Linked DNA regions of Callithrix jacchus. The protein of the gene in region 1 binds, or shares a complex with, the protein of each later gene. Links are inferred from orthologs where the notes say so. Each region holds a gene or a part of one and is shown on either strand. Other genes may lie near its edges.

What was found.
Region 2: KAT14 (region 1) and MBIP share a complex: the UniProt entries of both Homo sapiens proteins name them as parts of the ADA2A-containing complex. The link is inferred for Callithrix jacchus from reciprocal best matches to the Homo sapiens genes KAT14 and MBIP.

Annotation. Positions count from the first base shown.
Region 1 is NC_133506.1:25,193,333-25,209,296, reverse strand, and holds part of KAT14 (cysteine-rich protein 2-binding protein), read right to left. Parts: intron 11,676-15,964; coding exon 11,494-11,675; intron 8,892-11,493; coding exon 8,475-8,891; intron 8,338-8,474; coding exon 7,769-8,337; intron 1-7,768. UniProt on the Homo sapiens protein: Component of the ATAC complex, a complex with histone acetyltransferase activity on histones H3 and H4. May function as a scaffold for the ATAC complex to promote ATAC complex stability. Has also weak histone acetyltransferase activity toward histone H4.
Region 2 is NC_133509.1:70,905,954-70,922,017, forward strand, and holds the start of MBIP (MAP3K12-binding inhibitory protein 1), read right to left. Parts: upstream 7,228-16,064; 5' UTR 7,209-7,227; coding exon 7,080-7,208; intron 3,405-7,079; coding exon 3,285-3,404; intron 1,545-3,284; coding exon 1,320-1,544; intron 1,238-1,319; coding exon 1,141-1,237; intron 1-1,140. UniProt on the Homo sapiens protein: Inhibits the MAP3K12 activity to induce the activation of the JNK/SAPK pathway. Component of the ATAC complex, a complex with histone acetyltransferase activity on histones H3 and H4.

The DNA.
Region 1 (15,964 bases):
GTTGGTCAGGCTGGTCTTGAACCCCTGACCTCATGATCTGCCTGCCTCGGCCTCCCAATGTGTTGGGATTACAGGCATGAGCCACTGTGCCTGGCTTTTTTGTTGTTGTTTTGAGACAGGGTCTCACTCGGTTGCCCAGGCTAGAGTGCAGTGGCATTATCATGGCTCACTACAGCCTTGACCTCCTAGGCTCAAGTGATCCTCCCACCTCAGCTTCCTGAGTAGCACATGCCACCATGCCTGGCTAATTTTTTTTTTTTTTTTGTAGAGACGAGATTTTCTCATGTTGCCCAGGCTGGTCTCAAACTCTTGAGCTCAAGTGATCTGCCCATCTTGGCTTCCCAATGTACTGGGATTACAGGTATGAGCCATTTTATGGCTCTTGGTGTATGTTATCACTTAACTGACATTTGCTGAGTGGCAAAGTGTGGGGAAAAAAGCATCCCAATGTCAAAAAAGTGTGAAAAAATGTTAAATGAGTTTCTTTACACTTCTAATTCTAAACAATGGAGATCTAGGTGGGCTACTTGGCTACTCCCTTCCCAAGCCCAATCCAATAGATGCTACAGACATGAGAGGGAAGGCTAAACACAAGGCTGGGAGAAAGCCCAGGGGGAGGTGCCAGGTGCCTGGGTACGAGTGAGGCAGCAGAGTAGAGAGGGCAGAAAAAGGCTCTGCCCCACAGATGTGTCAGAGGCTGCTTGGATAAGTCATCACCTCCCCCAAGCACTTCTCTGGGAGAGGCAGATCACTGCCAATCGACTTTGCCAGCTACACACTGACTGGAAGATAATGCCCGAGCAGCACTGGAGCCTTCCTGTGTAGAGGGTGGATACCACTCGGGGCAGCCCCTGAGCATCCCACAGTCCTAGGCAGCAACACCAGAGGGAGAGCAAAAGCAGCACCTGGGCAAGAGGTCCTGGGAGGTTCCCTAAGCAAAGAGGGCATCTGACTGTGGGAAAAAGAGAGGATGAGAAGTGGTTCTGCCCAGAACCTCCCATTTTATTAAACTTGCTGACAGGGTCAAAAGCTAGGAACCAGGCTTTTGCTCTCTCCCCCAGGCATAAAATCCCAGCAAAGGTAGCTTAAATCACTAAGAGGGTATGAGTTCACAGGAAAAAGAAAAAATCCAGACCCATAAATAGAAAGTGCAAGAAAATGACCAGGCACGGTAGCTCATGCCTGTAATCCCAGCATTTTGGGAGGCCAAGGCAGGTGGATCACCTGAGTTAGGAGTTTGGGACCAGCCTGGTTGACATGATGAAACCTCGTCTGTACTAAAATTAGCTGGGCGTGGTGGTGGGTGCCTGTAATCCCAGCTACTCAGGAGGCTGAGGCAGAAGAATTGCTTGAACCCGGGAGGCAGAGGTTGCAGTGAGCCAAGATCGTGCCACTAAACTCTAGCCTGGGCATAAGAGCGAAACTCGACCTCAAAAAAAAAAAAAAAAAAACTGTAAGAAAACAAAAGGATAACAAACTAAACAAGTTAAACAGGAAAAGGAAGATTTAATTTACCAAGCAGACAAGAGTTTTAAGGTACAATAGTCATCAAAGAAATGCAAATCAAAACTGCAATGAGATACTACTTCACACTCACTAGGATGACTGTAACAAAAAAGACAGACAAGAACAATATGGCAAGGATGTGTAGAGAAATCAGAATCTTCATGCCCTGCTTGGTGGGAATGTAAAATGGTACAGCCACTTTGGAAGACAGTCTAACAATTCTTCAAAAAGTTAAACATACAGTTACCATTTGACCCAGCAATTCCACTCCTAGATCTACACTCAGAGAAATAAAAACATGTGTCCACACAAATACTTGTATACAATGTTCAAAGCAGTATTTATCTTCATAGTTAAAAGGTGAAACAACCCCGAAGTCCATCAACTGATGAATGGATAAACCAAATGTGGTCTATCCATACAATGGAATATTAAGCCATACTTAGGAATACTAATATGCGTTACAATATGGATGAATCTTGAAAACATTATGCAAAGTGAATGAAAGTGTTCTGCAAAGGCCACATATTATATGACTCCATTTATGTGAAATGTCTAGAGAGTACATAAACCTACAGAAGCAGAAAGTTAATTCAGGGGTGGTAGGAATAGGGGCTTTTTTGGGTAGTAACAACTCAAGGATTCAGGGCTTCAGCTAAAGTAATGGTGTTAACATCCATATCCAGAGTCCAGAAGAGGAAAATATAAAGGAGGAATACACTTAAAGAAGCAATAATGGGGGATTTCCTAGATCACAGCAGCACATACAAGGACTTCTGGTTTCCAGTCTGGCAGGTTAAGACGCTTAGAAGTTGTTCCTCCAGTCTAACAAGTAAACTGCTGAACACATTGAAAAATCAAGAACTCTTCTTACATACATAAAAGACATGAGGTAACAAGGCAAACCACTGCCCTCAAACTTGGAGAGAAAGACAGAGAATCACAGTGCCTGGAAGCAGAGCCTCTGTGGGAACCAGCATCCGCGTGGGAAAGCCCTGAAGAAATGAAGAACTGCTAGAGGCTCAATGCTGACAAGTCTGAGAGAGAAAAACTCCACTGGGTAAGTCCTGCCTCCAGAAGTTGGAACAGGGTCTCACAGTGAATATCAAAGAAAACTCCCCTCTGGCTTCTAGCTGGAGGAGGGGAAAAGGAACCATCTTAAAACTAAACACAGCATTGTGTTCTTAGTAACACCTGCCCTTAGGAGAAGTTATGTTATCAGAGCCTAACCAGTTGGGATTTAATCAGAGCCTAACTGACCTGGGAGAAGAGAAATACCTAACTCCATACCCTCTAACCATCCAGTCCCAGCTGACTGGGGAGAAAAGTGAGAAGCACTTTTGAAGTCCACAGCCCAGAGCACAGGTTCAAAAGACTGAGAACTACTCACAGAGCTTATAGAGGGCTTTCCCTGCCCACACCTCCCACATTTCCAACAGCCAACTTATCACAGCTCCTCTTACCCAGAACATTATTTTTGGCTTTCAACAAAAAATTACAAGGTATACTAAAGGCAAAAAACACAACTTGAAAAAAACAGAACAAACATCAAAACCAGACTGAGATATGGCAAAGATGTTACAACTACTGGACTGGGAATTTAAAATACAGGTGCACCTCAGAGACATTACAGGATCGGTGCCAGACCACTGCAATAAAGTGAATATCATAATAAAGCAAGCTGCACAAACTTTTGGTGTTCCAAGGCATATAAAAATTGTTTAAGGCCAGGTGTGGTAGCTCATGCCTGTAATCCCAGCATGTCAGGAGGCTGAAGCGGGAAGACTGCATGAACCCAGGAAGTCAACTGACAGCTACAGTGAGCCATGATTGTGCCACTACACTCCAGCCTGGGTGATAGCGAGGCTATCTCAAAAAAAAAAAAAGAGAAGAAAAGAAAAGAAAAAAAAAGCTGACAATATATTGTCATTGTGTACAATAATAGTACTATGTCTAAAAAAGTGTATATGCCTTAATTTAAAATACCTTATTGCTAAAAAGAAAAAAAATGCCAACAATCATCTGAGCCTTCAGTGAGTCAATCATTTTACTGGTAGAGGCTCTTGCCTCAATATTGATGGTTGCCAACTGATCAGGGTGGTGGTGGTTGCTGAAGGTTGGGATGGCTGGGGTAATTTCTCAAAATAAGACAAGAATGAAGTATGCCACATTGATTGGCTCTTCCTTTCACAAAAGATTTCTCTGTAGCATGTGACGCCGGGTTTCTTTGTTTCTTTTTGTTTGGTTGGTTGATTTTAAGACGAACTCTTGCTCTGTCGCCCAGGCTGGAGGGCAGGGATGAGATCTCAGCTCACTGCAACCTCTACCTCCCAAGTTCAAGTGATTCACCTGCCTTAGCCTTCCAAGTAGCTGGGATTACAGGTGTACACCACCATGCCCGGTTAATTTTTGTCTTTAGGAAAGACAGGGTTTTACCATGTTGGCCAGGCTGGAACTCCTGACCTCAGGTGATCCACCTACCTCAGCCTCCCAAAGTGCTGGGATTACAGGCCTGAGCCACCATGCCCGGCCATGTAATGTTGTTTGATAGCATTTCACCCACAAAAGAACTTCTTTCAAAATTGAAGTCAGACTGTGCCACTAATTTATCAACTGTTTATGCAATATTCTAAATCTTTTGCTGTCAAATTTCAACAATGTTCATGGCATCTTTACCAGGAGTAGATATTATCTTATAAAACCACTTTCTTTGCTCATCCATAAGAAGCAACCCTTATCCATTCAAGTTTTATCATGACACTTATCGATCACATCTTCAGGCTCCTCTTCTAATTCTAGTTCTCTTGCTCTTTCCACCACATCCACAGTGACATCTTCCACTGTAGTCTTGAACCCCTCAAAAGTCATCCAAGAGGCTTGGAAATCAACTTCTTCCAAACTCCTGTGAATGTTAAAACTGTGGCCGGGCGCGGTGGCTCATGCCTGCAATCCCTCACTTTGGGAGGCTGGAGTGGGCAGATAACCTGAGGTCACGAGTTCGAGACCAGCCTGACCACTTAAAAAAAAAAAAAATTAGCCAGGCATGGTGACACATGCCTGTAATCCCAGCTACTCAGGGGGCTGAGGTAGGAGAATCGCTTGGACGCGAGGGGCAGAAGTTGCAGTAAGCCGAGATTGCACCATTGCACTCCAGCCTAGGCAACAAGAGTGAAACTCTGTCTCAAAAAAAAAGAGAGAAATTTTGACCTCCTCCCATGAATCACAAATGTTCTTAATGGCATCTAGAATGGTGAAAGCTTTTTAGAAGGTTTTCAATGTCTTTGCCCAGATCCATCAGAGGAATCGCTATCTATAGTAGCTATAGCCTTACAAAAAGTCTTATTTAAGACTTGAAAATCAAAATTACTCCTTGATCCATCATGGGTTACAGAATGGATGCTGTGTTAGCAGGCATGAAAATAATATTAATTTTATACCTCTCCATCAGAACTCTTGGGTGACCAGGTATATTGTCAACGAGCAGCAATTGTTTGGAAATAATCTTTTTCTCCAAGTAGTAGCTTTCAATAGTGGGCTTAGAATATTCAGTAAACCATGCTGTAAACAGATATGCTGTCATCCAAGCTTTGTTGATATATTTACAGAGCACAGGCAGGGTAGACTTAGGATAATTTATAAGGGCCCGAAGACTTTTGGAAGAGCAAATGATCATTGTCTCTAACCGAAAGTCACCAGCTGCATTAGCCCCTAAGAAGAGAGTTGGCTTGTCCTTTGAAGCTTTGAACCGAGGCCCTGACTTCTAACTACTAAAGTTGTAGGCAGCATCTTCTTTAAATAGAAGGCTGTTTCACCTACACTGAACATCTTGCTTAGTGTAGCCACTTCCATCAATAATCTTAGCTAGATCTTCTAGATAACGTGTTGCTGCTTCTACATTAGCAACTGCCGCTTTAACTTGCACTAAAAGAATAAATATAAAACAAGAGTATGGATTGAATAAATGCATTTATAGCCACCCCTGTGTAAATACATTAAAATTTATACTAAAATTCCAAGTTGGCCAGGTGCGGTGGCTCCTGCCTGTAATTCAGCACTTTGGGAGGCCGAGTTGGGCGGATCACGAGGTCAGGAGATCAAGACCATCCTGGCTAACATGGTGAAACCCTGTCTCTACTGAAAATACAAAATTAATCAGGTGTGGTGGTGCATGCCTGTAATCCCAGCTATTTGGGAGGCTAAGGCAGGAGAATTGCTTGAACCCAGGAGGCGGAGGTTGTGGTGAGTAGAGATTGTGCCATTGCACTCCAGCCTGGGAAACAAGAACAAAATTCCGTCTCAAAAAAAAAAAAAAAAAAAAAAAAATCCAAGTTAAGACTGGGTTAAAACACAAGTATATAGCTTTACTACTTCCCAAAATCCCACTAAAACTACAGAAACTGACTTAATTAGAACAGTAAGTGGTAAGCAGATGGACAAATAGTAACTGATTTAACGCCAAAATCCCAAAGTGGCTTTGGGTAAGCTGAATGAGAGCTAACAACCCAATCTATACTGCAGAACTGGCTAAAATCCAGGCAGCAGCAGCAGATTCCTCTGGAACTGGGACTAAATGGGACAGTTAAAATAAGAATCAGGCAAACAGCATGTGGAAAGCAGTATGATCCCCAGATCCCTCCACTCTCTCTAGCTGGGTGGCTGCCCTCCCCCAGAAGCCAGGAGGTCTGATTTTTGGGAAGGTCTAACAAAGGCTCCAGATGGGGCCATTCAGTGAGAGCTGATACCACCTAAGCCAGTGGTAAAGCTAAGCCAGGAGCAGGGTGATTTACAAAACACAGCCTCAGGGAAGTATAGCCACTGAAGTCATCAGCCTTAGAGCCTGGGGGGTATGATTTCGACAGAGAGGCTCTTTAAGAGGTTAAAGCCTCTAATTATACCCGTATACTAATTACACTGCCCACAGCCAGGAAATGATCTTTCCCTCTACAGGCAGAAGACTGCAGAGGCTCAAGAGAGAAATTCTGGACACAGGAAGCCAACGGTGAGTACCGTCCTGAAGACAGGGAGAGTCAATTTACTTCCTCAATGGTAGGCTCCTGAGCCCTCCCAACTTGGCTCCTGGTATGCAGGCTGGTTAATACTGTGTGCTTCCCAGGAAATACTGGAATTAGAAGAAAAAAGAAAAGAGGATCTATCTGGAGTAGAGATCCTGGTAAACTATAGGCACTCCCCACCATTCTTTTTACTGGAACACAGCCCCATTCACTATGGCTCTCAAATCACAACAGCAGTTCCCAATGAGATTTTGTGGCCGGCAAAGCCTAAAATAGTTACTATCTGGCAGAAATATTTTTTTATTTACAGAAAAAGTTTGCCAACTTTTGATCTAGAGGGTCCAATATCCAAATAATAGGGGAGTTCTAAAATGAGGGAACAAAAAAAATAGAAGACAGGAGATCAAAACTTTTCCATACTCAGGAAAGAAAGTTTCAAACTGAAGGGGCCCAAACACCACATGTCCAGCACAAGGAAAGACATAAGCCCTACATATGGCATATCACTGAATAATACCAGAACACCAGCAATGGAGAGCAGAATCCACTAGCTTCCAGAGAAGAAGACAGAAAAGCATCCAGGCCCCAAACAGGCAATTTGCAGAGAAACAACCATGAAATTTAACCTCACCTCTAACCAAAGAAATGTAAATAAAAACAAGATTTCACTTTACAGCCAGCCAATCAGCAAAACTTAGAGGCTAGTATCAAGTGCAGACAAAGATATAGTGAAATAAGGCCTCTTGTTCCTCCCAGTGCTAGGGTATATGCAGACAGTTCTAAGTGGAATTAAATGTTCCCAGAAGCATCCACAAAATTTGGGTTCCACTGATCATCCTTTGGGCAACACTGACACCACACTGATCCCTTGGCTACTATTTCTTCATGCTGTCCTCTACGCAGATCTCTACCTTCAGATCCTGTGCAGCACAGTGTGCGAGACACTGTCATGGCCTCGACAAATCTATCAAAGCTACAACACAAACCATGTACAGCTACCCTCTGAGAGAGAGATAAAGAACACTTATAGGTTAAAGAAAAAGAAAACCCAGATGTACTAAGGTGTTCTTCTAAGAAACAACTGTCACAAACAAAGCCCAGTGATTTTTGTTCCCCTTGCTCATTACTTCTCTCTTCCCAAACTACTCAGGATTTAAAAGGTCACAGCATAACCATGTCAACTGCCTGGTACAGCCTGCCCCACCTCCACTCCTGCCCCCACCAGCTTTATAGCAAATGCCTGCATTCACCTGGTATCGGTCAAGGATTCTGAAGTCCTGACAGGTAGTTCGGTACATGGCTTGTCCAGCTGAAAGTCTGGAAACTCCTCCTTCTTTGGCTCCATAAATCCCATCAACTAACAGAAGAGCAGCATTAACAACTTGATCCAAGTCAAAAAGTGGTAATCCCCTATCCCTTTTCGCTTGTCTGACAATCAGTTTGCGCTTCAGTCTCCGAGCTTCCGGAGTCATGGCAACCGCACCAGGACAAGCTTCCAGCCTCTTGAGCAACAGCTTTTCCTCATAGATGCTCACGGGAGTATACTTGGGCTCTTTCGGCTTTGTGTCCTTCTCCAGCTGAGGCTTCCTCTTTTCTCGAGCCCTTGTTTGCAAAGACGTGTTGGAATCTGTGTCTTCACTGTCAATATCCATCCTGTCTGGTTTTTCTTCCTCACTCTCTACCTCCTGCTTTATCTGTTCAGGGCCTCTGACCTTCTTTCTGCTCCCAACCACTGGCCCAGAAGCTACTGACCCAGAAGGGGGTGGAATGTACTCCATCCCTGGGTCTATGACTCCATCGCCTTCCATCTCATCATCATCTGTGCAGAATACAAAACAGTGTCATCAAGACCCAGGAAGGAAGAAATGCAGAGCACAAAACCCACAGGGTGAAAACTTGTATATCTATACTATGGCCCATACCCAAAATAAAAGACCAAAGCAAGCAAAGTCCTACCGTGAAACAAGGCTTGCGGGGGCATCACATCTGGAATCAGATCTGCTTCTGAAAGCAAGCTGGGCGTGGCAGAATGAGAGGCAGGTGTCCCAGGGGCAGAGAAATCCAGAGAAGGAGAAGGAGATGGGCTTGTCAGCGGGGTGCGGTCAGAGGAGCTCAAGGAGGAAAAGTCAATCACTTCTCCTTTTTCAAGAATCACATCTGGCCTACGGCCTCGGCTTATGAACTTTACAGGGGTAGAAGACGTGCTCCTGTCAAGAAAACCAGCCGCCTCCTTTTGGGCTCTTCTAATATCTTTTGCTTCCTGAGTTCGAGACCTTTTCTCTTTTAATTCCATGGCAGATTCCACAGGATTCCGACTTGCCCGTTTTCTAAGTCCCTCAACAGTAATGATGGGATCTAAAGTTGGTTTTGAGGCTGCCAGAAAAGAATAAATACAGGCTGAGCATCCCTCATCTGAAATGCTTCAGAACAAGCATGTTTTAGATTTCAGATGTTTTCGGATTTTGGAATACTTGCATTATACTTATTGGTTGAGCATCCCAAACCCAGAAATCCAAAATCTGAAATGCTCCAATGAGCATTTCCTTTGAGGGTTATGTTGGTGCTCAAAACGGTTCAGATTTTGGAGCGTTTTTGATTTCTGATTTTCAGATTTGGACTGCTTAACCCATATCTAAATTTTAAAATAACTACTCAACTTTAGCTTCTTTTGCTAATTTATCTTTATGAATAGTTTCATGTTCAATTAATGCCCTAAACTAAAAAAGATTTTAAATATCTCCTGAGAAAAAAGAAGTTGAAATGCAAATTTAAACAAATAAATACTTTCTTTTCTTTTTTTTTTTTTAAGACGGGGTTTCACCATGTTGGTCAGGCTGGTGTTGAACTCCCGACCTCAGGTGATCCGCCCACCTTGGCCTCCAAAGTCCTTGGATTACAGGTGTGAGCCACCACGCCCGGCCATAAATACTATCTTTCATCTACTGGAACTGGTAAATAGTAAAAGTTTAGCCAGGCATGGTGGTGCAAACCTCTAATCCCAGCAGTCTGGGAGGCTGAGTGGATAGATCTTGAGCCTGGACGGTGGAGGCTGCAGTAAGCCAAAAAAAAAAAAAAGTTTGGTAAAGCTCAGTAAATGTATGGGAAAATGGGCATTTTCGAGGGCATTTTAATGGGAAGTTTCTTTCTTTCCTTTTTTTTTTTGGAGACAGGGTCTTGCTGTGTCACCCAGGCTGGAATGCAGTGGTGTGATCGTGGCTCACTACAACTCCGCCTCCCAGGTTTGAGTGATTCTCCTGCCTCAGCCTCTCAAGTAGCTGGGATTACAGATCCGTGCCACCATGACCAGCTGATTTTTGTATTTTTGTAGAGATGGGGTTTCAGCATGTTGGCCAGGCTAGTCTTGAACTCCTGACCTCAGCCTCCCAAAATGTTGGGATTACAGGTATAAGCCACCACACCTGGCCTTATTATAGTCTCTTGGAGGATAATTTGGCAATCCTGATTAAAATTTTGAATGAATATGATCTTTGATATAGAAACTCTGCTTCCAGGAATTTATCACATTTTCACATGTACACAAATTTGTATAATTATAGCGTGTTTGAAGTAACAAAAGGTCAGGCATGATGTCTCACGCCTGTAATCCCAGCACTTTTGGAGGCAGAGGCCGGAGAATCACTTGAGCCCAGCAGTTCAAGACCAACCTGAGAAAAATAGTGAGACCCTATCTCCATTCTTTTTTAAAAAATGTTTTAGTGAGACCCTATCTCCATTCTTTTTTTAAAAATGTTTTAATAGTGGCTCACGCCTGTAGTCCCAGCACTTTGGGAGGCCAAGGCAGGTGGATCACCTGAGGTCAGGAGTTCGAGACGAGCTTAGCCAACATGGTGAAACACCATCTCTACTAAAAATACAAAAAAATTAGCTGTGAATGGTGGTGTGTGCCTTTAAGCCCAGCTATTCAGGAGTCCGAGGCACAGGAATCATTTGAACCCAGGAGGCAGAGGTTGCAATGAGCCAAGATTGCACCACTGCACTCCAGCCTGGGTGACAGAGCGAGACTCTATCTCAAATAAATAAACCAATAAGTAAATATAAAAATGTAAAAGCACATTAAAACCTTTTTAAATTATAAAACTGATCAATATGTGATAGAAGTTACTATTAACATCTTTTTCCATGTGAAAATGGCATTATGGTCAGGCTGCAAAAAGGAAAGAATCCTGCCTGATCTCTTAGAGATACACACTGAGACATTTAAGAATGAAATGTGGCGTCTGGGCACCGTGGCTCATGCCTATAATCTCAGCACTTTGGGAGGCTGAGGCGGGCAGATCATGAGGTTAGGAGATCAAGACAATCCTGGCTAACAGGGTGAAACCCTGTCTCTACTAAAAATACAAAAAATTAGCCAGGTGTGGTGGTGTACCCCTGTAGTCACAGCTACTAGAGAGGCTGAGGCAGAAGAATCGCTTGAACCAGGGAGGCAGAGGTTGCACTGAGCCAAGATTGTGCCACTGCACTCCAGCCTAGGGGACAGAGCAAGACTCCGTTTCAAAAAAAAAAAAAAAAGAATGAAAATGTTCATTCCTGGGATTTTTTAAGAATGGGGAAAGTATTGGGGATTTAGATAAAATAGATGGTCAGGAGTTAATGTCCAAGTGAGGTGGAAGGCATAGGGAATTCATTATGTTATTTATTATGGGAATTTTAAAACATCTCTTCACCTTTGTGAGATGGTACGTTTAAAAACAAAAATCAGATGGAAAACATTGAACCTTTCAGATACCCAGGGAAATTTGTAAAACTGATAGCTTGATTAGGAAGTGATAAAATGTTTTTATGTGGCATTTATTTCTAGCACACACACATAAGTGTCATCACAGAAGTGTTAAGGAGACTAGCTCCAGAGAAGCCTTGGAGCTGTGCCAGTGGAAGCAGGGGCATCTCCTGGGCTCACGCCTGCTTGGCTCTGGTCTGACTAGCATCTTTTGTATTGTTCTCACAACAGTACCTTTTATTTTCAAAGTCGAGGCAGACAACTTCTCTCCTTCAGGTTTCATTGTTGGGGGCTTGTTATGAACAAGTTTCCACCATCCCGACTCTCCAAATTCCTGAGCACCTGAACGGAAGTACATGGGACTTCCCACGCTGAGGCAACCTGCCACGGTGCTCCACCAGGTGGATGTCTTTTTCCTAAAGAGTCCAAGAATTTAAAAATGATTGGCACTAAAATAAGCTCATTATATAGAAAGACAGTCTATGTATACCGTGACTCCCGGCCTGCAACATGCAATGGCACCACCCGCTGCTGAAGGAGCAGAGCACAAGAGGCAGGAGAGAGGTTCTGGGGCCCACCTGCTTCACACCCTGGCACTACCAACTTCTAGCAGTCTTGGTTTGTTCATCTGAAAAATCAGAATAATAGAACTTACCTCACAGGGTTGCTGTAAGGGTTAAATGAAACAATTCAAACGAAGCACGTAAAATACTTCTCAATCACAATCATGATTACGGAATTCTACAGGCTACTTTTAATTAGGTTACTTTTTTATATGAATTAAGCACAGCTCCCAAGAATAAAGCACACGAAAAGCATAACTCCAAGTCCGGGCATTTTGTGATAGAAGTTAATCACTGGCTCCAGTAAAGAGCTCACTTTACCAGGGGAGTCGCACACGTCTCTCAATCTGATCCTATCTACTTGGATGCACTAGAGTGGTAAAAAAACTACGTGGTATGCTCCACAAACAGAGATAGCACCTACTGCATGACAAATATCAAAATGTGCATAATGTCAACTATTTGCGGACCCTGTTGAAAATTCTTTTAAGACAACTGTTCTCTTTCCACCTTGAAAACACAAATCAGTTGCCGGAAATCCTAAAAGACAGTCTTTCACAAGAAGGTCAGCCTAAAAGATATTTCTAGGAAGGCAAAGGAAAAGCATTCTGAAGAACAGAGATGTATTATTAAAGAAAACACAGAAAATAAACAAATAAGCTAAGCTACAGTAGGCATAAGCACCATCTGAGGCCAGGCATGGTGGCTCACGCCTGTAATCCCAGCACTTTGGGAGGCCGAGGTGGGTGGATCACCTGAGGTCAGGGGTTTGAAACCAGCCTGGCAGACATGGTGAAACCCTGTCTCTACTGAAAATACAAAATTAGCCAGGTGTGGTGGCACATGCCAGTAATCCCAGCTACTCAGGAGGGTGAGGCAGGAGAATCGCTTGAACCCAAGCAGCAGAGGTTGCAGTGAGCCAAGACTGCATCATTGTACTCCAGCCTGGGTGACAACAAGAGTCAGTCTCAAAAAAAGCACTAACTATCTGAGAGAATGACACCCCCAACCGTTTGGTCCCAAAGTACCTCTCCTACATTTTTATCTTTTTCCAATCTTTCCAAACCCCTCTAATATACAATGTAGTATAAACATACACAAGAGAATACAATTCAAATCTTAAAAATAAAGGAAATCCTGTCAGATGCCGCAACATGGATAATCCTTGAGGACATTATGCTAAGCAAAATAAGCCAGTCATAAAAAGACAAATACTGTATGATTCTACATATATGAACTATTTAGAATAGTCAAATTCATAGAAACAGAAAGTAGAATGGTGACTGCCTAGAGCTATGGGGAGGGGAGAATGGAGTTATTTAATATAGAGTTTCAGATCTGCAAGATGAAAAGAGTTCTGGCAATCTGTGAATCTACATCCAAATATGTGAATATACTTAACACTACTGAACTGTCCACTTAGAACTGGTTAAGATGGTAAATTTTCACCATTTTTACTGCAATAAAAAAAAAAGGTCTGGGCAACGCAGAAAGACCTCATTTCTACAAAAATAAAAATAAAAAAATTAGTTGGGTGTGATGGCATGTATCTGTGGTGTCAGCTACTTGGGAGGCTGAGGTGGGAGGATCACTTGTGCCTAAGAGGTCAAGGCTGCAGTGAGCCATGATTTTGCCACTGCATTCCATCCTGCATAACAGGGTGAAACCCTATCTCAAACAAACAAAAACAATAAAAAGATTGAAAAAGGCTCAAAAGATTTTAAAAACCAATGTGTTATTTAGTGTGTGGAAAATAGGTGTGTACTTCTACATTGACAGTGGGACTATAAACTGGCGTATACTTTCTTGAGGTTACTTTCATAATGTACAGCAAAATTGTGTGTATTCTCTGACCCCACAAATCTAATCACAAAAACACAAAGGACATATATACAAGAATATTCCCTACAAGGCTAACTTAAACACAGGAAAACCAGAAGTAACATAAATGTTCATAAAAGTATCAGCCAGTGTTACAGATTTAATTTTGTCCTCCCAAAATGAAGTCCCAGTACTTGTGAATATGACCTTACATGCAAACAGTGATCAAGAGGTCACTGGGTTGAATAAATATGACTGGTGTCCTTAGACAAGGGGAAACCTGAATAGAGACAGACCTGGAGAGGGAAGATGCAGGAAGACACAGGGAAAACGTCCTCTAAATGCTAAGGAAGGCCTGCGGCTAACAGAAGCTAGGGGAGAGGTATAGAATAGACTCTCCCTCACAGCCTTCAAAGGGAACCAATCCTGTCAATAACTGGATTTCAGATTTCCAGCCTCTAGAACTAGAAAACATTTCTGTTGTTTAAGCCATCCAGTTTGTGTTACAGCATCATTAGCAAACTAATAGAGCCAGCTAAATCACAGTATAGACACATAATGAAGTATTTGTATGGAATGGAATAAATTTGTTGCCAGGACATATACAAACACAGTATTTATAAACAGCCTGAATACTTTCCCCCAAAATTATTGTTGTGGTAAAATATACCTAACATTTACTATCTTAACAAGTTTTAAGAGTTGAGTTCAGTGGTATTAAGTACATTCATACGGTACAATCACCACCACCATCCACCTTCAGAACGCTTTTCACAGGGCAAAACTGAAACTCTGTATCCATTAAACAACTCCCAATTCCACCCTCCCACCAAGTGCTGACAACCACCATTCTACTTTCTGTATCTGTGATTTTCACTACCCTAAGTACCTCAGGTAAGTGGAATCACACAATATTTGTTTTCTTGTGATTGGCTTGTTTCATATGTTCATCTACACTGCAGCACGTGCCAGAATTTCCTTCCTTTTTAAGACTGAATGATATCCACTGTATGTATATGCCACACTTTGCTTATCTATTCATCTGCTGATGGACACTTGGGTTGCTTCCACATCTAAGTTATTGTGAATAATGCTGCTAAAAACATGGATATACAAGTATCTCTGAGACCCTGCTTTCAATTCTTGTGAGTATATACCCAGAACTGAAAATGTCAGATACTATCATTATATTTTTAATTATCTGAGGAAATGCCATACCGTTTCCCGTAATGATTGTACGATTTTACACTCCCACCGACACTTGCACAAGGGCTCCCATTTCTCCACATTCTTGCCCACAGTTGTTATTTTCTGTTTTTTGATAATTGTTGCCCTAAGGGGTATGAGAGGGTATCTTGTTATAGATTTGATTTGCATTTCCCTAATGATTAGTGATGTTGAACATCTTTTAATATGCTTATTGGACATTTTTGTATCTTTGAAGAAATGTCTACTAAATTCCTTTACCCATTTTTGCAATGTGGGGAGCTCCAACAACAACGGCTGCCACCTCTTTTTAACTCTATGATTAGATGCAGTAATCAGTAATCAGAGCACAAAATACCCAATATTTGGAAAACGGCTTATTTTTGCCCACCATGAATGCTACAAGCTGTGTGTAAGCTGCTCCAGAAACACACAAACAGCTCTCTCCCTAGCAGCTGGAGAAGGGGGACGGGTAGCTGCTACTGCATTAAGAACCAAAACTGACCAGTATGAAACACAATATGCTGTCCACGCCTTCCCTTGGAAACTGCAAGCCTTTATTAGACTACAGAGTTCCAAAACAGTTCCATGAGTCAGATTCTGCCAGTGCAACTGCTGTCCAAGCAGCGAGGCAGATGCTTCCTATCTGCCACCTTCCCAGAGTCCTCCTCATATAGTTGATCGAAGTGTAGATACTACCAATATGTTCTATTACATTTCATCAATGCTAAGATCCATTAACTTTGAGATACACCATTTTATGTACAAATAAGAAAAAGCTAACTACCAATTAAATTATGACCTACAGTAACTATAAGATATATCTAGCTGTCAGAGACGTCAAATTTTACAAAATTATGTATCTTAAAAAAAAATCAGGGCTGGGCGTGGTGGCTGACGCCTGTAATCCAAGCACTTTGGAGGCCAAGGCGGGCGGATCACCCGAGGTCGGGAGTTCAAGACCAGCCTGACCAACATGGTGAAACCCCGTCTTTAAAACACAATCAGTAAAATATGGCAACAGAAGAAAATATTCAAACTATTCTTCACTAATCAAAACTATGCCTTCTGGAAAAATTCAAGGCCAGGACTGTAAAAGCAGATTAAATGAACAA
Region 2 (16,064 bases), on another chromosome or scaffold:
GCCAGCAAGGAATTGAATGGGCCAAGGAATCCTGCTGAGCATTTCAATTCTTGTCAATTTCTATCCCCTGGTGGTTTATAATAATAGAGTTAGCAGGGAGAACAGAGGAATAACATTAGTGACACATGTGCTTGCTCTCTCAACAAATCCTTTCTCATAGTCGCTTGCAGTTGGTTGTAGTACCTGAGATTTTGTCATTGTTGCACCTATTCTGAAAAGCTACAAGAAAATATACCATATTTAGATATGCACATGTATAATGTTAATAGTAGCACACACCTAAATTCAGGACCAGTTTATATTATTTCATTATTAAGAGAATCAGTGTACCAATGTGATATGAGTCATCTCTAGGTTCATCTGTCAATTATATGTTCATAATAATTTTAGCCATGAGATATTAGAGGCAACAAGAAAAATGTTCATTCCATATGAACTCTTCTCCATAATTTTTCCTAAGAACTACTTGTTCTGATTATTACTATGATGACTGAGTATGATCTATGGCACTGCTTTACAATATTTTGTATTCTGCAGCGTACCTGCAGATTTGTAAATGTACTGTAGCATCAAGTGAAGAGGTAAAGGAGAATCTGATGAAAAGCAGCAAATGCATGCACTATGACAGAAAGGAAAAAAGCAAGACATCATGGTCTTCATGATAAATTGGTTGTATTGTGACATAGGACATTTCAAACAGCTCAGGGGTAGTGAGAAAACTGTTCCCTCTGGAGGAATATTAACTTTACTAAGTTCACATATATTAACATCATGATTTCATAGTACATTTATAGGTTTGAAATTCATACAGCTTAGTTCCTTTTACTATTGAGATTGATCAACCCTGTCTTTCATAACTCACCACCATTTCCTAAAGGAACTTTAAAATAATCTTCACCTGTGGTAAACACTTTTAATGTTTGCATTTATTTGATTTTTGTGTAACCAAAATCAAAACCAATTTGCAACATAGTCTATTATTAAGCAGAAGAAAAGTCTACTGCCTTAGTTACTAACTAAACCTGTGAAATAAACTGAATTGTGTTCTTAAAGCCATTCATTTAAAAAATAAATAAAAGATTAGAGCAACTATAAAAATTGTACTTAAAATCCTATGAAAATTAATTTCTAGGTAGTTACCTTGATTACAATCAATAACATTGCAAAACTCTCTGACGTTGTTTTCATTGATTTCAGCTTGCTTTCTTTCAATAAATGCAGATATTCGTCTGTCAATCTACAAACAACAAGTTTTAACAGTGTAAACATAAGATTTTTAAAAGTAATACCCTCTCATCCCCACCAAAAAAACTTCTTACTTCTGCTTTTCCAGCCTTTATCTGAACTACTTCTGGATCAAAATGGATCTGTGTCTTTTTCACATCTCCTAAATCACATTCTTTGTGCTTTTCTTCCTTTTGTAGGTCGCCAAAGGAAAATTTGTCATTTACTTCATTTTTGTTCCCCGTTTCTGTTTTTCCTATCTCTTCAACAGCGGTTGTATTCTCCTCTTTAACTGGAGACTGAAGTTTTGCTAAAAAAGGCTGAGAACAACACAATTCCATCTGCTGAGATTCAAACTGACCCAAATTAATTACACATTTAATATATTTACATAAATTTCTGCTAAATTAAATATTTAATATTACTAAATATAAAAAGTTAGTACACCAGGACACATAGATCTGACTTCATATAAGTATTTACTATTCTTTGCTATTGTAACCATTATCATTTGCTATAAATTTTAAAAGAAGAGAGGAAAAAAGAAAAAAGATTAGAAAACCTAAGGAAATTTAAAATTTTCTTTGAGAGAATCATTCTGTCACTTATCTTTTATTTTGTGCCAAATCAAAGCCTTCAGCCTCTGGCACCAATGCCACTTAATTAACATGTCATTCAAATGCCTCCTCAGAACACTAAGGCTTAGTATTTTTCCTCCTTAACAGGAGAGCCAGTGCTCTCACTCAGCAAAGCCCTGCATTATCACTGTATCACTGGAGATTCTCCACTTGAAACTGCAGTTGGCCAATGTGAATGAGGAAGCATAGACAGGAAATATATAGGTGTTAGGCTGAGTGAACACTCAAGACTTTTCCTGACATGGCAAATATCTTCTTGGGCCATAAGATTAAATTTTAAAAAACAAAACTAACAAGAAAAAAAAATCTATGGCAGAAAACAGGCAGAGGCCTATCACTATACTACAGGGGGAAAAAAACCCCTATTGTAGAATATAAATGATATTATCCATTTACTGTTCTCCTCCCCCACTCCACACAATTAGGCCTCATTTGAGTTCTATAGCTCACTGCTCTGCCCTTTGAAAACAGGGTTAACTATTACTTTTAACGTGAAACAGTTAAAATTTCCCACAAAGTCAATAAATGGAGAGCTGAAAATTAATGCCTATTCCATTAGTCAAAACACACTAACACTAATAACGTTCCAATTATTTTTTTCATATCCACAATTTTGCTTCCCTTGTTTGCTATACCAAATACTCTCCTGAAACCGTATAACATCTTAATCACAGTAAACTGACCAATCCAAACAGTTCTTCCACTTATCTTTTTGACACTTTACATTTTACACTTTAATTAGAGATAAACTGCAAACTTACATCAATTATAATTGGAAAGATGTTCAATTACAAACTAGCAAGGTCATAACATGAAATACTTAAAAATATAACAATGCTATTATAAATACCAGTTCAATATTAGCTTCTAATATAAAGAATAAATTATTTCAAACTGTTAAGAAAAAGAAAACAGTGACTGGCTACTTACTAAGATGAGACATTAATGTCACAGAAATTACTTTCTTTTTAAAAACTATGCTGAAACTGTTTAATTGCAATAGACACTCCAGGATGTGTCATGCTGGGATAATGCCCCTTCTTGAACCACTGAAAGCACTCCATGAGCCTCCAAACTCACCCAAGGCATGGAATCATTATCATAGCATGACACACACCTGCCGTGTCTTATTGCTTAATTATAACCCACCATAGATGGAACTGTATTGAATTTTCAGTGCAGGTCTAGAATTGAACAGAACTGCATTCATTCACTCTCATACCCACATTAGTCTTTTGGGCTATATTCCCTTAACTGTCCTGATCACTACTGAAATTAACAGATTTAGATCCAATCTGGATGTAAATAACCTTTTATTAGCAACACTATTAATAGAGTGTTTAGAACTGACAAATACTCTAATTTAACCACAATTAATTTCTGTTTTCAATATCGGGTTATCATTTCTAACAAGAAATTTACCTGTAAATCTAAAATGTGTTGTTCAAGTGCACTAAAGAGCAACGCAGGCTGGAATGCCGAAAAGCTTTGGAGCTTGTTCCAATCGATTGTAATTTTCACCACATCATCTCTGAGGTTAAGCTTCAAAAAGGCAAACCAGCAACATCACAAAAATTATAAGATTAAACTGTACATATGGAATTGTCACAAATAAAGGATTTCAAGAGTAACGTGTCTATTTTGCTCAAAGTTATCAAGTTTTACACTGAAATGCTCTACCTAGTTACCATTTTAAATGGCCACGAAAGCTACAGATTTTCATAAAAAACAAAAACAAAATGACATGTCATTCAAATTCTATTCTTGGGTCTGTGTAACGGGATCATTTTAGAGGTGAAACCATTCATGAAAGATGAAAAGATGAAGGCTCTTTTGATTCTTCAATATCTACAAACCTTTGGATGGAGTCCAAAATAGGCTTACCCTATTCAGAATCCTACTACTTCTAGCTCAGAGCCGTAAACAGAGGAAGCACAACTGTTTTGTGAAAGTTTTAACATGCATTTTTCTCTTTAAGTACGTACACAAATACATACCAGATATATATCACTATTCTGATGTTCTCCAAATCACATTGTTATTGTTTTCACCTTTAACCAAATTTTAAACTAATTTAAAAGTCAAGATTACTCATACATACTAAAAGCAGGGATAAATGGCAACATGTTTATTTCAAATAAAAAACTATTAGTTAGCTATGGAAGTCTGAAGCTGAAAAACAAAGACTTCTCCACAATAGTGAAATAAGTTGTCAGACTGGATGAAATGGCCAGATCTTTTGCTAAATGGTAAGATGTGAGGGCTCATTATATGGAAATTTGTATCAGTTGGTGATCTAACAGAATAAAATCATACCCAGAAAATTACAAAGAACCTGAATATAAGATTATTATCAAAATGAATGAAAATTTTACAGTGATAGCACCCATCTGCAGTCTTTTGAGTGAATAAAAGTGAACTATCATAAACTTTCCTAGGGACATATGTTTACAGGATAGCATAAGAATATATTCCATAAAAGAAACAAGTTACATAATTAATTCAAAATTCATCATCTTTTCTACAAAATAAAGTTGTTACGTTAGTTCAAATACAGATTTTAGGAGTTATAAAGATGAATCACTGTACAAAGATCAAAAAGATGTAAGGTTACCAATAAAAAGATAATATATTGAATAAACACTATGTGACAGAAATTTACTGCCCTTTTAAGATAAGAACAGAAGAATTTAAAAGTCCATATTAAACAAGTGTAAAGATATATGAAATTTCATGTAGGCTGCACTGGCAAAGATTAGAACATATTAAGACTTTAAAGTTAATGCATTAATTTATATTACTTTAATGCCTATAAAGATTTTGCTACACAACAACCCATATTATGTATGGAAGTAACCCATTAATATACTTTTGTAGTCTTCAAAGAGATCTATACTCGATTATAGAAAACTTATGAATACAGCTTGGGGATAAAGCAGGCAAATCCTCAACCAAAGCAAAGTATCACATTTTTCTAGAGAAAATAACGTATAGAAAAATAAGTCTTAATGTTTGGTTCATATTCTCATTTCAATTCAGCAGAATTATATAAACCTTCAAGTGCAATTAAGAATAATTGGTCTTTTAAGAAAACCACATAATGTCACAAATTAATTATAAAACTATCCTAATTCATCTAACTATTCATTCAAGACATTCATTATTAGTCACATGAATCCTATGCATTTTGCCCTACAGAACTTGGAAGAGTAAACCATTCACTTGAAAATCTCTATTAGTCTGCTATTAATATAGACTATTTAAATATGTAGTTTCATTAACTTTACTAAATTAATACAAAAATCCAAGCTAAAAATAAGTAATTGTTCAGCTTGGTAAGATGGGCCATCCAGAGGCAAGCAAAAAGGTTAAAATTAGTAAATTTTGTGATCTGAAGTAAAAAATTATTTTTAACATTCAGTTTTGTGTTTCCTACTGAGGAGATCTAATAATACAATGATACTTAGGGATGACACAGGATAAGTTAGGTATGTTACAACATACATTTTAAAAATCCTTTAAACTGGTCGCAAAAGAAAATACTGATTTCTCGGGGGGGCAATTTTATAAGTATTGAACTCTGGCTTTCACTCTTAAAAAACATTTCTCAAAATACAGAGTATTTTGAAAGTGGTTTACATTTAATTGATGAAACAATCATATTTTTGACACTTGTGTAGGAGGTCCCTTCACTGTGTCACAGTAAAGTCACCAAATATTTACTGTCAACATTTTTGACAAGTGACATAAGTAAACTGTAATCATTTCTTTAATTGTACTTTACCGTACTTGAATCATTAAAATTTTCTAATGAGTTTGAAAAATTCAGTATGCAAAATATTTCAAAAGAAAAGTTTAAATCATTGCTCAATATTTTTTTTAAATATTCCATCTTCTGTTAATAGGTGAGCATAAACTTTTTTTATCTTGACATTAGAAAATAAACAAGTTCCGACGTCGCCATAAAAAGTTCTCTAACTTTTAAACCATTTAGAGGTTTTGGTTCTTAAGACTACAATGTTAATAACAAAAGACCCCAAGTGTTTAAAAAAATGTTTTTGGTAAGTACTTGGCAAACAATTGAGTTTAAAAGTTGTATCTTTTAGCAGATTTCATTAACAACTGCGTCATTACATAAAACCGCTAAACTTACAGTAATGTTCTTTGTAAGACACAACATACTACGATTTTTAAAACTACTTTAGTAACTTTTTAAAAGACTGATTCTCCATCTACTCAAGGCTTTAAAAAAATAATTTTCACAAATCAGACAAATGTTCTATTTTTATAGGAATTTACCATTGTCTTTGACACAAATGCCTGCTGTGTCCACAGGCACTAGTACCAGCTCCAAAACAAACTTTTACGGCTAGAAAATGGTCTATGTAAGATAGAAAATATTTCCTTTTAATAAGCAGGTGAAGAAGCATAATTTTAAACTGTTTCACATTTAAAATCTGCTTTGAATTTTACACCATGAAACGAAACAGTGACTTGATCACAGAGAATAAGAAGTCCATTTAAATTTAAAACCAATTTTACCACATTTCTGCAAAAGCGATTTATCAGCCAGTTAAACTACGCCCGTTTAATAATAGTTAAATAACGCCCGTTCTATTGCAAACAACATCAAAGAGGGATAACTCATCCAACTTTACGCTAGAAGTATTTTAAATGAATTCCTTTTACTTTCCTCTCCATTTAAAAGGGTAATAGATGCACAAAACAGCCCGAAGGAAAGAAGAAATAAACAAAACCAAGTGACTCATAAGAACAAATTACTCCCTCTAGCCCCTGAAAAAAGCTAATAAGCGCGCTTTTCTATAAATCTCAGGCCTACTGACCAACCAATTCCCGTAATTGAGTAAGTTGGAAGAAAAAGGAGCCTGAGCGCGAGGCGCCTCATAAATCCGCAGTTAAGCTTTTCCACATTCATTCTCTCCAAGTCTGCTCCTCTCGGGGCCGGGTTTTCACTTAAACCATCCTCACCCACTGCTGGGGAGGACAGCTGCAAGGTAAACCACTTGGCAACCGGTACCGCCATCCTCCTCACTCCGACTGAGACGGCTCGGCCCGGGCTCCTCCCCGACCTCGGCTTCAGGGGCCGCACCTCAGACCTTGGCAGGCCTCGCTGCCTCTGGCCTCCGCTAGAGGAAAAGAATGAGGGGGAGAGGCCGGATGGTTTCCATACCCTCAATCCCTGAGGCCACTTCTCACCTGTCCAACCAGGGTGTGCAGGGAGCGAAAGATTTCGCAGAGCACCTCTCGGGAGAGGCTGGGGCTGCATCTTCGCTCCACATTCCTGTCACCGCTACTCGGGCGAGTAAGCTCCGTGGCAGCAGCCATGACACCTTCTCAGGCCGCCAAGGATTGCTCACAGCCCCGCCCCCTCCCTTTTCCGCTTTAGTCGCTCGGTGATGACGTACGACACGGCGTCTCGTTTATATCCGGGCTTTGAGGCTCCACCCTCTGTATGTGACTGACAAGCACGTACACCAATCAGTTGCAGCTGTGGCATTGCCCCGAAGCTCTGAAGTGAATTGCAGACCAAAGCTAGGCTAGAATGCTGTCTTTGGGGTGGTCATTAGAGTCGTGGTCTCTTAAGGGTTAGCATCATGAAGCTTACCTTGACTCCTGGATGTTCCTTGTGAATGTTGGTAGTAGGGGACTATGTGAAACACTGTCAGTATCATTCCAACAGGAATTTAACCTGGATAAATAATATGCAACCACAATCTTTGAAATTAGAAGGACATAAAACCGAATTGAAACTTTACAAAGTATTATATAACTTTATTATAAAGATACTTGTGGGGTTTTGCAATCTTTTCTTTTTTTTTTTTTTAATATTTTATTGCATTTTAGGTTTTGGGGTACATGTGCAGAACGTGAAAGACAGTTGCATAGGTACACACATGGCAGTGTGTGTTGCTTCCTTTCTCCCCTTCACCCACATTTGGCATTTCTCTCCAGGCTATCCCTCCCCAGCTTCCACCCCCACCCCCGTGCTGGGCCTACACTTTTCCCCCCAATAGACCCCAGTGTTTAGTACTCCCCTCCCTGTGTCCATGTGTTCTCATTTTTCATCACCCGTCTATGAGTGAGAATATGCGGTATTTCATTTTCTGTTCTTGTGTCAGTTTGCTGAGAATGATGTTCTCCAGATTCATCCATGTCCCTACAAACGACACAAACTCATCATTTCTGATTGCTGCATAATATTCCATAGTGTATATGTGCCACATTTTTCCAATCCAGTCTATTATCAATGGGCATTTGGGTTGATTCCAGGTCTTTGCTATTGTAAACAGTGCTGCAATGAACATTCGTGTGCATGTGTCCTTATAGTAGAACGATTTATAGTCCTTTGGATATATACCCAGTAATGGGATTGCTGGGTCAATTGGAATTTTTATTTCTAAAGCCTTGAGGAATCACCACACTGTCTTCCACAATGGTTGAACTAATTTACACTCCCACCAAAGGTGTAAAAGTGTTCCTGTTTCTCCACATCCTCTCCAGCATCTGTTGTCTCCAAATGTTTTAATGATCGCCATTCTAACTGGCGTGAGATGGTATCTCAATGTGGTTTTGATTTGCATCTCTCTGATGACCAGTGACCATGAGCATTTTTTCATATGATTGTTGGCTTCATATATGTCTTCTTTTGTAAAGTGTCTGTTCATATCCTTTGCCCATTTTTGAATGGGCTTGTTTGTTTTTTTCCCGTAAATCTGTTTGAGTTCTTTGTAAATTCTGGATATCAGCCCTTTGTCAGATGGGTAGACTGCAAAAATTTTTTCCCATTCTCTTGGTTGCCAATTCACTCTAGTGACTGTTTCTTTTGCTGTGGAGAAGCTGTGGAGTTTGATTAGGTCCCATTTGTCTATTTTGGCTTTTGTTGCCAATGCTTTTGGTGTTTTGTTCATGAAGTCCTTGCCTACTCCTATGTCCTGGATGGTTTTGCCTAGATTTCCTTCTAGGGTTTTTATGGTGCCAGGTCTTATGTTTAAGTCTTTAATCCATCTGGAGTTAATTTTGGTGTAAGGTGTCAGGAAGGGGTCCAGTTTCTGCTTTCTGCACATGGCTAGCCAGTTCTCCCAACACCACTTATTAAATAGGGAATCCTTTCCCCAATGCTTGTTTTTTGTCAGGTTTATCAAAGATTGTATGGTTGTAGATATGTTGTGTTGCCTCCGATACCTCTGTTTTGTTCCATTGCTCTATATCTCTGTTTTGGTACCAGTACCATGCTGTTTTGATTACTGTAGCCTTGTAGTATAGTTTGAAATCCGGTAGTGTGATGCCCCCCGCTGTGTTCTTTTTGCTTAGAATTGACTTGGCTATGCGGGCTCTCTTTTGGTTCCATATGAAGTTCATGGTGGTTTTTTCCAGTTCTGTGAAGAAAGTCAATGGTAGCTTGATGAGGATAGCGTTGATTCTGTAAATTACTTTGGGCAGTATAGCCATTTTCACGATATTAATTCTTCCTAACCATGAACATGAAATGTTTCTCCATTTGTTTGTGTCCTCTCTGATTTCGTTGAGCAGTGGTTTGTAGTTTTCCTTGAAGAGGTCCCTTACGTTCCTTGTGAGTTGTATTCCTAGGTATTTTATTCTTTTTGTAGCAATTGTGAATGGCAGTTCGTTCTTGATTTGGCTCTCTTTAAGTCTGTTATTGGTGTAGAGGAATGCTTGTGATTTTTGCACATTGATTTTATATCCTGAGACTTTGCTGAAGTTGCTTATTAGTTTCAGGAGTTTTTGGGCTGAGGCGATGGGGTCTTCTAGGCATACTATCATGTCGTCTGCGAAGAGTGACAATTTGGCTTCCACTTTTCCTATTTGAATACCCTTTATTTCTTTTTCTTGCCTGATTGCTCTGGCTAGAACTTCCAGTACTATATTGAGTAGGAGTGGTGAGAGAGGGCATCCTTGTCTAGTGCCGGATTTCAAAGGGAATGCTTCCAGTTTTTGCCCATTCAGTATGATATTGGCTGTTGGTTTGTCGTAAATAGCTTTTATTACTTTGAGATATGTTCCATCGATACCGAGTTTATTGAGGGTTTTTAGCATAAAAGGCTGTTGAATTTTGTCAAATGCCTTCTCTGCATCAATTGAGATAATCATGTGGTTTTTGTTTTTGGTTCTGTTTATGTGGTGAATTATGTTTATAGACTTGCGTATGTTGAACCAGCCTTGCATCCCCGGGATAAATCCTACTTGATCATGATGAATAAGTTTTTTGATTTGCTGTTGCTATCGGCTTGCCAATATTTTATTGAAGATTTTTGCATCTATGTTCATCATGGATATTGGCCTGAAGTTTCCCTTTCTTGTTGGGTCTCTGCCGGGTTTGGTAACAGGATGATATTCATCTCATAAAATGATTTGGGAAGGATTCCCTCTTTTTGGATTATTTGGAATAGTTTCAGAAGGAATGGTACCAGCTCCTCTTTGTTTGTCTGGTAGAATTCGGCTGTGAACCCATCTGGATCTGGGCTTTTTTTGTGTGGTAGGCTCTTAATTGCTGCCTCGACTTCTGACCTTGGTATTGGTCTATTCATAGTTTCAGCTTCCTCCTGGTTTAGGCTTGGGAGGACACAGGTGTCCAGGAATTTATCCATTTCTTCCAGGTTTACTAGTTTATGTGCATAGAGTTGTTTGTAATATTCTCTGATGATGGTTTGAATTTCTGTGGAATCTGTAGTGATTTCCCCTTTATCATTTTTTATTGCACCTATTTGGTTATTCTCTCTTTTCTTTTTAATCAATCTGGCTAGTGGTCTATCTATTTTGTTGATCTTTTCAAAAAACCAGCTCTTGGATTTATTGATTTTTTGAAGGGTTTTTCATGTCTCTTTCTCCTTCAGTTCTGCTCTGATCTTAGTTATTTCTTATCTTCTGCTGATTTTTGAGTTTTTTTGATCTTGCTCCTCTAGCTCTTTCAATTTTGACAATAGGGTGTCAATTTTGGATCTCTCCACTCTTCTCATATGGGCACTTATTGCTATATATTTTCCTCTAGAGACTGCTTTAAATGTGTCCCAGAGATTCTGGCATGTTGTGTCTTCATTCTCATTGGTTTCGAAGAACTTCTTTATTTCTGCCTTCATTTCATTGTTTATCCAGTCAACATTCAAGAGCCAGTTGTTCAGTTTCCATGAAGCTGTGCGGTTCTGGGTTCGTTTCTGAATTCTGAGTTCTAACTTGATTGCACTATGGCCTGAGAGACTGTTTGTTATGATTTCAGTTGTTTTGCATTTGCTGAGGAGTGCTTTACTTCCAATTATGTGGTCAATTTTAGAATAGGTGTGATGTGGTGCTGAGAAGAATGTATATTCTGTGGATTTGGGGTGGAGAGTTCTGTAAATGTCTATCAGGTTTGCTTGTTCCAGGTCTGAGTTCAAGCCCTGGATATCCTTGTTGATTTTCTGTCTGGTTGATCTGTCTAATATTGACAGTGGAGTGTTAAAGTCTCCCACTATTATTGTGTGGAAGTCTAAGTCTCTTTGTGAGTCATTAAGAACTTGCCTTATGTATCTGGGTGCTCCTGTATTGGGTCCATATATATTTAGGATTGTTAGCTCTTCTTGTTTTATCGATCCTTTTACTATTATGTAATGGCCTTCTTTGTCTCTTTTGGTCTTTCTTGCTTTAACGTCTATTTTATCAGAGATGAGAATTGCAACTCCTGCTTTTTTTTTGCTCTCCATTTGCTTGATAAATCTTCCTCCATCCCTTTATTTTGAGCCTTTGTGTATCCTTGCATATGAGATGGGTTTCCTGGATACAGCACACTGATTGGTTTTGGCTTTTTATCCAATTTGCCAGTCTGTGTCTTTTGATTGGTGCATTTAGTCCATTTACATTTAGGGTTAATACTGTTATGTGTGAATTTGATACTGCCATTTTGATGCTAGCTGGCTGTTTTGCCCATTAGTTGATGTAGATTCTTCATTATGTTGATGCTCTTTAGCATTTAGTGTGATTTTGGAATGTCTGGTACTGGTTGTTCCTTTCTATGTGTATTGCCTCTTTTAGGAGCTCTTGTAAAGCAGGCCTGGTGGTGACAAACTCTCTGAGTACTTGCTTATTCACAAAGGATTTTATTTTTCCTTCACTTATGAAGCTCAGTTTGGCTGGATATGAAATTCTGGATTGAAAGTTCTTTTCTTTAAGGATGTTGAATATTGGCCCTTACTCTCTTCTGGCTTGTAGTGTTTCTGCTGAGAGATCTGCTGTGAGTCTGATGGGCTTCCTTTTGTGGGTTACCCGACCTTTCTCTCTGGCTGCCCTTAGTATTTTTTTCTTTATTTCAACCTTGTTGAATCTGATGATTATATGCCTTGGGGTTGCTCTTTTTGTGGAATATCTTTGTGGTGTTCTCTGTATTTTCTGCATTTGATTGTTGGCCTGTCTTGCTGGGTGGGGGAAATTTTCCTGGATAATGTCCTGAAGAGTATTTTCCAGCTTGGATTCATTCTCTTTGTCACATTCTGGTATGCCTATCAAACGTTGGTTAGGTCTCTTCACATAGTTTCACATTTCTTGGAGACCTTGTTCATTCCTTTTTGCACTTTTTTTCTGATCCTGGTTTCTCGTTTTATTTCATTGAGTTGATCTTCAACTTCTGATATTCTTTCTTCTGCTTGGTCAATTTGGCTGTTGAAACTTGTGCATGCTTTGCGAAGTTCTCGTATTGTGTTTTTCAGCTCCTTTAATTCATTCATATTCCTCTGTAAGTTATCCATTCTGATTATCATTTTCTCGAATTTTTTTCAAATCTTATTTCAAGGTTCTTAGTTTCTTTGCATTGATTGAAAACATGTGCTTTTAGCTCACAAACGTTTCTTATGATCCACCTTCTGAAGTCTGATTCTGTCATTTTGTCACAGTCATTCTCCATCCAGCTTTGTTCCGTTGCTAGTGAGGAGTTTTGGTCCTTTGTAGGAGGCGAGGTGTTCTGGTTTCGAGTGCTTTCCTCCTTTTTGCACAGGTTTCTTCCCATCTTTGTGGATTTATCCACCTGTCGTCTGAGTAGTTGCTGACTTTTTGATTGGGTCTCTGAGTGGACGCCCAGATTGTTGATGATGAAGTATTTCCGTTACTTGGTTTTCCTTCTACCAGTCTAGCCCCTTCACTGTATGACTGCTGAGGTCCACTCCAGGCTCTGCTTTTCTGGAGTGCACCTATAGCAGCTGCAGAACAGTGAGGGATGCTACCAGTTTTTTTTTTATGCTATTTTTGTCCCAGAATGATGCCTGCCAAATTCCAGTCTTTTGGATATAGAGGGGTCAGGAAGCTGCTTGAGGAGACAGTCTGTACTTTATAGGAGCTCAAGTGCTGAGCTGTGAGCTCTGTTGTTCATTCAGGGCTGTTAGGCTGCTACGTTTAATTCTGCTGCAGCATAACTCATAAAAAAACCCTTTTTTTTCTCAGATGCTCTGTCTCGGGTGTTGGGGCTTTCTTTGTGAGCATCCGTTGTGCTGTCTTGCCCAACTTGGAGGCAGTCTAGTCACTATTTGCCTGCCGAGGCTCCGCCCTGCTGGTGTGAGGTTCACCCTGTCGCTGCAGGCTCTGCCCTGCGTCTGCGGTCTCCGCCCTGCTACCATGGGCTATGCCCTGCGGCAGAGTCTCTCTGTTGTGGCAGGTTGCTTTGGCAGTGGCAGGCTGTGTCAGGAATGGGAGTGTACCTCAGTAGGGGCGGATTGCCTCGGTAATGGCGGACGCCCCTCCTCCACCGAGCTGCACCATCCTGGTGCAGTGAAACTCTCCACCAGGAGCATTTGGAATCGCCATTTTGTTTCTCCCACTGCGCTACCCCAAACGCCGTTTCCCTGGAATCTCCTGGCCTGGCTCACTGTCCAAGTCCTGTTCAGTCAGGTAGATATGCAAATCTGCCCTCTCAAGTCTCAGATTGCCGGTTCAACAGGGCACCTGGACGAGTGCATTTTGTGCGGAGCGCTGTGGAGCACCGCTGCGCTACAGCGCTGGCCACCGGCTGCACCGGCTGCCAGCTGCGCCAGCCAAAACCTCTGCCTGGCATCCCGCGTCTCTTTTACTTCTGGGAATTTCCCCGTTCTGTGGGCAACAAAGATCCATCTGGAAATGCGGACCTGACTCACCCTCCGCTTGTTCCCCAAGAGCTTCGATCCTGGGTTGTTCTCACCGTGCCATCTTGAGTCCCAGTCCGGGGTTTTGCAATCTTTTAGTCAGACTCCAATATTTTAAAAAAGTGTTATTCAATAAAAAAACAAGTATTACCAGAATGTTTAGTGTGAAGTTTCATTCAAAAACACTTTAAGAAATAAACATCAGCTTAGAGATAAGGAAGGTGGGATCTAAAACTCTTAATTTTGTTAATAGTCAATGCATTTACAGTAGAGGAAGCAAAGGTGGAAACTTTCACAATGTGCATTCTTTAGTCTTAGGGAAGACTAAATTAGAGGGAAGGACTAAGATATCAAGGAAATAGGATAAGGATGGTGAGAATAAAAGAACTCCTTTGACCTGTCCCTAGGGAGTCTCTTAATTAGGCTTTCATTTCCAAAAACAAATGGGATCACCAGGCTTGACAGAATTTTGGGAAATCTTTTCTATTCCCTTGCTAGCAGCAAGATATCCATCCTATGTCTAGAGGCAGAAAAAGACTTCACGATGTCCAATCTTAAATTGAGCAACCTTCTTATTCAAGCTTCTCATCTCCATATCTAGCCTAAATTAATGATTCTTTGCAATGTTAGCATATTTTCTTTGTCTCTGTTTCTTTTTTTTTTCCTTTCAGACAGAGTCTCCCTCTGTCATCCAGGCTGAAGTGCAGTGGTGCCATCTCCACTCACTGCCACCTCTGCCTCCTGGGTTCAATCGATTCTCCTGTCTCAGCCTCCCAAGTAGCTGGGATTACAGGAGCCTGCCACCATGCCCAGCTAATTTTTGTATTTTTAGTAGAGATAGGGTTTCACCATATTGGTCAGGCTGGTCTCAAACTCTTAATCTCAGGTGGTCCACCCGCCTCAGCCTCCCAAAGTGCTGGGATTGCAGGCGTAAGCCACCCACCCAGCCGCCTCTGTTTCTCTTGTAGGAGAATAATTGTAATGGGATAACTGTAAGCTTTTTTTCTCTACCAAATTGGCAATCAATTTCAGATCACTTGTTTTCATTGAAGTGTTTCAGAATTGTTTCATATATGGAGAACATGGATAGGCAACACATTTAGGGATATGCTTTGTACATTAAAAGAATACTGTCTTTAACAAGGTGCTGCTCATTCCTTTCTTTGCCATCATTGATTCTGATTTTTCAAGTTTTACTTGTTCTTTTGTGTCTCTAATAGAGAATTAACTGATGGTCATTTGACTTGTGTATTGCTTCTCCATGTAATTCTGTGATTTGATATCCAGACTGGCTCCTCTATCTTGGTATTCTTTACTTAGGTACAGGTTGAGCATTCCTAATCTGAAAATTCAAAATCCAAAATGATCCAAAATTTGAAACTTTTTGAGCACCAATACCACAAGTGGAAAATTTCATACCTGATCCAACAGTCAAAAGGCAGCCAAAACTTTGTTTCATGAACAAATTTATTTAAAACATTATATAAAATTACCATCAAGCTATGTTTATAAAGCATATATAAAACAGAAATGAATTTTGTGTTTAGATTTGGACCCCATACCCAAGATAGCTTATTATATGTATGCAAATATTCCAAAATCTAAAAAAATTGTAAGTCTGAGACATTTCTGTTCCCAAGTATTTCAGATAAGGGGTACTCAACCACTAGTACTTAGAATTTGTTAATTCTTGGGCATTTTTCTTCTTTCTAAGGACCTTTCTTACTCCTTCTTGGTGTCTATTACCTTCATTTTGGAAAGTTTTCTCATTTTCTTGTTTTATAATAGAAAATTCTATTTTAAATAGAAGAGTTTGTAGCCTGAAAAGATTTTGATTCCTTGGGCTAACTTAAAATAGAAATTTGTAGATATTGTATGTGTGTATGTATGTATAACAAAAGTGTAATACAAGCTCTGAAATTTAGAAAGGGAATAAAGGAAATAATTTGCTCTTTATGGAAAACTAATTACAGTTTATAAAGTGGGTTGCTGACAAATCTGCTGCCTAGCAGAAATGATTCAAAGTGTTGGTGTTGGCGTTAGCAACAGAGTTAGAAATACTGTCCTGCAAGCCCATGCCAAGAAT